2 linked regions of the Caenorhabditis elegans genome follow. The protein of the gene in region 2 interacts with the protein of the main gene of each other region in a pairwise test. Each region holds a gene or a part of one and is shown on either strand. Other genes may lie near its edges.

Region 1 (3,757 bases), on a different chromosome or scaffold from region 2:
TCCCTTTAATATCGTAGAAGTGGAAAAACAAATGCACTGCAATTGCTTAAAAAATACGAAAAAACCGAAGGAGAACGGGATATCACTGTCACAATTCGAAAAGAAATATTCATTTCAAAAATCGAGATCCCGTAAATCGACACAAGCGCTACAGTAGTCATTTAAAGAGTTACTGTAGTTTTCGCTACGAGATATTTTGCGCGTCAATTGTGTTGTAAAATGTGCATTCTCAGAATATTACAACCCAGTGAAGGAAAAAACTGTCGACCAAGAAGTAATGAGCCGACGAAAAAAGCCGCGAGAGTAGTAGGTTGAGCTTCTTCGGTTTAAATAAAGGATAAAAAATCGTCCCCCCTCTCCCCACGTGGAACAGTGGCGCAACAGTTCGCCCCCCACCGCTAAAGGGGGTCAAATCAAAAGGAGAAGAGCAAATAGATCAAATCAACAGAGAGAGAGATAGGAAAATAATCGTCAGTTTTCAATAAAAATGAAACACTTGAAGCCTTGATCGTGGTGGATGATCGAATGGGGGTAGGCGGAGCGCCTTCTCTGTATGTTTTGATTATTACAACCGAACCACCGATCGTCGGAGAGAAGACAATAGAAGAATTGGAGCGAAATTGGAAAAATGAATGACGAGGAGTCTCACGAGGAGGGGAATCGAGACCATTTTTGTGATGAATCACTAAATTGCACCATAAACAACAGGAAAACAGGCAAAAATCGCAAACTGGATAATATTCAAATTCGAAAGAGGCAGCGGAAAATTCCAAAGGAACGACTTTTTTAATTGAATTCAATTCGAAACGAATCGACTCTGCTCAACAGTTCTTTGTCGACAGTATAAAGGAATTTTCATTTCCCAAGCAGGGGTGCCGCCGAAAATTCTTTGGAAAACCGAAGAATTTTCGTTTTTGGGCAATTTTGACCACTTTTTTCGGTTTTTCAAGAAAGAAAAACCGAAAAACCGGCAGACCTGGGCAATAAATTATTCAACTTATCACCCCCCCCCCCCCCCTGATTATCACGGAGGTAAAAAGAGCACCAAGTGGCACCACGCTTTATCAGTTAGCTCTACCAACATGCACTTTCGATGAAGAGAGCTCCCAACGGCAGCTGGCAAACGGCTGGTATCAGTGGCAAAAAACCTGATAGGGTTATGTCGAACTTGGAGAAATACATCAAATTTTTTCTTGTTCATTCACGAATTGGAAAAGTTTCAGCCACAGTTTGTGTCAGAGATGGGCGGCAATTTTTAGTCGGTAAATCGGCAACTTGCCGGTTTGCCGGAAATTTACAATTCTGCTAATACAATTTGCCGGAAATGTTCAACTCCGGAAATGTGCCTGTTTGCCGGATATTTGAGTTCTGTCAATTTGCTTTCTAATTTTTTTTTTTTAATTTGCTGATTTTCCGGAAAATTCTCCATTCCGGAAATTTGCCGGCAAATTCTCCATTCCGGAAATTTGCCCATTTGCCGGAAAATTGAATTCCGCCAATTTGCCGGAGATTTTCAACTCCGTCAATTTGCCGATTTTCCGGAAATTTCCAATTCCGCCAAATTGCCGATTTGCCGGAAATTTCCAATTCCGCCAATTTGCCAGAAAATTTCAATTCCGTCAATTTGCCGATTTGCTGGAAAAAATCGTTTGCTGTATGTTCAGACACAGATTGTGTTCTATTTCGGGATCAGAGAGTTCAACGGAACACCCAACATCTCTATCATCAAAGAAGTTTTGCCGACACGGAAATTCCTACAGTGCCCCTAAAAAAACTTCCGATCTTCGAAACAAATTTCAGATGACGTGACTTTTCCCGGTATAATGATGCAAAATTACAAAATATTTTTAAGAGCAATAATCCGATCCAGAGTTCAAAATCGTGTGCCAAACACACTCGCACCACAAATCACCTATTCAAAACGTATGCAAATCAGCAGCCAGTGTATCGATAAAAACTGGGGGGAGTTGTTCGACGGTATTCTGATTTCTGTGATTTTTTTGTCATTCTTTTCCTCATGATTTTGAAATGTTCCATTGATTTCTAAAATCTATTAATGTTTTTTTTTCCCCCGTTTCCATTTTTTGATTTAGAGAGAGGATGCGACGAGTCGGCGATGCTGAGGAAAAAATTGAAAAATCAGATGAAATGTCGGAGAATTCCAGGAAGACTTCAAAAATATTGTGTTGCAATCTGACGCGATATTTGATTTTGATTCTGACGTAAGTTTTGAGAATGTTCGATCACTTTATATTACAGGAACAAAAAATTCTGAGATTGCGTATTGCGCAACACAATTGACGCGCAAAATGTCTCGTAGCGAAAACTACAGTAACTCTTTAAATGACTACTGTAGCACTTGTGTCGATTTATGGGGATCTCGATTTTTTTTTTGGCGAATTGTGACAGAACAGCGTTATTCCATTTTCGGGTTGTGTCAAAGTGTCTCATTCCGGCTTGATCTACGTAGATCTACAAAAAATGCGGGAAACGAGACGCAGAGTTCTCAACTGATTTCGCATGGTTAAGAACGTGCTGACGACACAATTTTTTGGAAAAAAAATCCCGCATTTTTGTAGATCAAACCGTGATGGGTCAGCCTAGCACCTTTATTTCTTCGTATTATTTTAGCTTTTTTTTTGGCTCAATTTTACTATTCTATCGATAAATCGATAATTAAGCAAAAAGTGAGAAAATATAACGAAGAAACGAAGGGAAATTCATTTCAAAAATCGAGATCCCGTAAATCGACACCAGCGCTACAGTAGTCACTTAAAGAATTACTGTAGTTTTCGCTACGAGATATTTTGCGCGTCAAATATGTTGCCCAATACGCATTCTCAGAATTCAACGTTCCCATAATACCAAAACTTCTTCAGATTAACATGTCTGACACTGCTCCAAATGAACTCATTGGCGTTCAATTTCACAGTAATCTGTATGTCAGATGTCTCAGACGATTACCATATCACTCATCCAAACGAAACTCATTGGTTTGAAGATAGTAACATGAAATCTCTGGTATTTTCATCGATGGCAGTCGGCGGCCTATTAGGATTATTAATTGCTATGCCATTAATGCATCGAGTCGGTGTTCGTCTAGTATTGAGCATTTGTGGTGTATTCTCAATACTCGGAACCATACTATTCCCGCTAGCTGTCGAGTGGAACTTTTTCAGCGTTCTTGTAGTGCGATTTCTACAAGGATTGGGGATTAGTATGGTCTTTACAGTTCTGGGCTCCGTGCCGACAGCATGGGCTCCAAATAATGAATCTGGCACTTTTTTGGCAGTTCTATCGTGTGCATTCCAGTGGAGTAACGTGATCTGCATGCCAATTTCTGGATTCCTATGTGAATCATCCTGGGGGTGGAGATCGATCTACTACCTCTTCGGAATTGTCACCATAGTATTTTTCCTGGCGTTCTACTTTTTCTACACAGATTCTCCGACAGATCATAGGAATGTTTCGAACAAAGAGTTAAGCCTTATCTTGCAAGATAAGACTGTAACTCATAAGGAACCAGTTCCATATTTGGCTATTTGCAAGGATCCTTGTGTGCTTGTCACTTGGATGTCCAACATCGGTGGAAACCTCGGATTTTTAACCTTGGTACTCTACGGTCCAACCTATTTGCGTGAAGTTTTGAATTTCGAAGTTCGCGGAACTGGCTTCGCTAGTGCTCTTCCATTCTTGCTCTCAGCAGCTGTCAAATCTATAGCCGGACAGCTATCAGATCGCTGTGATTTTGTATCAG
Region 2 (3,247 bases):
CTTTGAACTATAAAGTTATTTGCATTGTATTGAAATTTAAAAAAAAGAGGGTACTTGTGTATTACATGCCCTCATTTTCAAATTAAATTATATTTTCCCTAACTCCTCCAATTAAATAAAACGTGATATGCATTTTTCCTCTTTAGGCTTAGAAAATGTTATATCCTAAGCCTAAAAATACAAAAGTGTGGTTCACGTTTTTATTTTCCATAACTTAAAAAAATTACCATTAAAATGAGGGCATGTAATACACAATTACCAAAAAGAGAAATTTGTTTTAGTTTCAGCACATAACTATTTTATGTTACAAGTATGTTTCCACACGTGAGTTTTAGTTTAATATTTTGAGAATTAAAAACAATGATCTATAGCAACATCATTTTTTAGCATTTATCATCTCTATTTATCTCTGCCACCTTGACATTTTCACTGACATAAAGATATAAAAAAATTTATGTTTTGTCAGAGAAAGTTAATCTTGATATTTGTAAAATAGTGAAATTCCACAGGAGATTAACATTATGACGTGATTTTCAATTTGAAAAATTATTTTAATTATTTTTATATTGTGGGTGGATACTTTAATTCGTATGTATAATATATTCTCAAAGAAACAACGAAAGAATTTATTACTTTGTGTGCGACGATGATGTAATAGCGGAATATTGGATTATCAAACTGATATATAGTTGATAAAATGTCACTTTGGGTGTAGTTACTCAGTCCAGTGTTCCTGTTATTTCCTGCCAAATGCTCCTGAGAAAAATCTGCAAGATTAACACCTGCATGTAAGCCTGTTCGAAAATAGAAAATACCTAGGGTCATCGATATCAGATCCACGTTTGTCGTACATAGTGTACCTATGCAAATCGGCTAGTGAAGGGAGGATCATTCGTTTTCCAAAAGACATTGTCATCAATCTGCAAATCAGGTTATATAAAAAGCAAAGAAAACAAAAATCAAGTACTAGTACCTCGGGTCGTCCAAATCATCCATGCTTCGTCGTTGAATTCTAATTGCGCGGTAGCTCTTTGGATATGCTTGTGGCTCTGACTCAATAGCGGATCTTTTTCCAAACGAAGATGTAAACATTCTGAAATAAATTGTGTTCATATAGTGCAGAAAAAGAAAACATTAACTTACCTCGGATCATCGAAGTCGGCTTGCTTCAAATACCTGAAAAATAAAAGTATAGGGGTCTTGAACTTTTGGAAACGCTGAAATAGAATCTCTCAAGACTATGGAATTTGAAACTTATTTGTTTGGCATTCGATAATTCAACAATATTTTTTGATGTCATTCAAATATAATGTTGCAGACTTACAAAGCAGATGTGATTTGACTAGCAACACCGAAGAGAACCACAATGAGCAACGCCGCCTTGATATACATGATTACCACTGAAATAAACTTTATGGTGATAGGCTAAACAGAGAGGTTAACGAAGGAGGAATACTAATGATGGGAGATCATGTGAGAAATGAAACACGAAACATCATCCCAAAATAAAATCTCAGCACATATCAGGTCAGGTCATATATACATGAGTTGAATATATCAGAGCAAGTGGGAGTGGGAAAAGTGACAGGTGGAAATACTGGGTGAAAACTTCTAGAATGTTGAAAGCTGGACAGGAAAGGAAATGATTGATAAGCACACTGGGCTTGATTGAAAACGAAATGAAGACCACTAGTAGAGGGCGGAGCTCATGGTGCTCGGTTGTCTTCAGCCACGCCACCCCTCACACCACCTTGTAATCCGCCAATGGATAGGATTAGTTATGAAAATTGTCAAACTGAAGATTTCGATTCCTCTGTCTCTTGTTATGTGCCCACCACGTTGAGAAAAAAAGGCGGGACCGCCGTTGTATAGAGGAGCACCGAGAGGTATAGCTGGAGAGAGGGATGAAAAAGAACACCGAGTCAAAACCGATTGACATCATGTCGTAAATCTTGAGCCAAAACAAACCAAATCACGAATACAAGGTTGAAAAAAAAGACCGGGAGAGTGCAATAAAAAATTGGGCCCGTTCCTTTGATCTTCCCTTTTCCCACTCACTATTCCGTTGAGAATCTGTCTGCCGAAAAAAAAAAAGAAAAACGAGATTGGTTCGCAGATTAAAACTGCACATCACATTGCATTCCAATTTAAACCGACCATTTATGCACATGTCTTGGTTCACTGAGAACACAGATTGATTTTGATTCGGAGAAAGTTTGACAGGAAAGTTCAGAATGTCGGAAAGTGGAGCCACATACAAAAAAAAATGATTAGAAATTTTAAAGCAGAACTTGTTGCTTGAATTTACTTTAACAATATTGTGAAAAATAATCACTAATAACCGAGTTCGCTGATTAAAAAAAAAGACGATTTACACTTGAGTCATGTCTTATGCTGGTAAAAAAAATCATATATCTATTTTAGACGCTGTCCATAGAACCTAGAACCAAAAAAAGGAGGCTGAAGTAATTAAAAATTGATAAGAAGAGGGAAGAAGAACTCAAAGGATTGTGAATGAATTGCTAAGTTGTCCTACACGTGAACCACCCTCGTGAAGAGTCTGCAAGTGGGGGAGTATGTACGTAGACTTAACTTTTTCATTCCCATGAAACATGTAATTACGTAGGTCGTGTCATTTGCACTGATTCATTGCAAAACATGAAATAGTAGCTTTTGAATTGCTCTTCTCTTTCTTCCGTTTACAAAGAGTAGAAGGAAGAAAGAGTTAACAAGAATAATGCGAATTGTGTCATTAAAAACAATCCGAGGAAGATGGAGTGGGAAGCAGTACAATGGTTCGAACAATTTAATTTGATCTTCTTACGGGCACTTTTAGATTTTTCCGACTAAGGTTTTCCAAACAACAAATTCTAAAAAATTGAATATGAAAACGTTTGTCTAGACAAATTTCTATAGTAATTCATGTCTTTCAATACTACCGATATGTGGTTGTTAATCGGAAATTATGTAACTAATAAGGAATAAATAATCATGAGAATTTACATAATAGTTATCAATCAAGTGGAGCATAATCGAGAAACAATGTCCTGGATATTTCTCAATTACTAAATACAAGATGATTGACATTTCCTTATACACAATTTTGAAGGAAATGGATTAACTACAAAACTATACAACTGAAACCATAAATGAACTGAAGTGAAACCCTGTTAAGTTTTGAATTTCAAATTTAAACCTTATTTCCAATTCCTCAAACCCACGTCAGGATTCACACTTATTAGAGATT

Evidence for each region. Proteins that work in one complex are often made in the same cells at the same time.
Region 1: the proteins of nlp-7 (region 2) and C01B4.8 interact in a two-hybrid assay, tested with the Caenorhabditis elegans proteins (one large-scale study listed by BioGRID).

The regions. Positions count from the first base shown.
Region 1 is NC_003283.11:2,488,412-2,492,168, forward strand, and holds the start of C01B4.8 (Major facilitator superfamily (MFS) profile domain-containing protein), read left to right. Parts: upstream 1-2,100; coding exon 2,101-2,222; intron 2,223-2,879; coding exon 2,880-3,757.
Region 2 is NC_003284.9:8,591,340-8,594,586, reverse strand, and holds nlp-7 (Neuropeptide-like protein 7), read right to left. Parts: upstream 1,407-3,247; 5' UTR 1,393-1,406; coding exon 1,325-1,392; intron 1,177-1,324; coding exon 1,144-1,176; intron 1,094-1,143; coding exon 974-1,093; intron 921-973; coding exon 776-920; 3' UTR 768-775; coding exon of another isoform or gene 737-767; 3' UTR 551-736; downstream 1-550. UniProt on the Caenorhabditis elegans protein: May regulate lifespan in response to food availability and oxidative stress.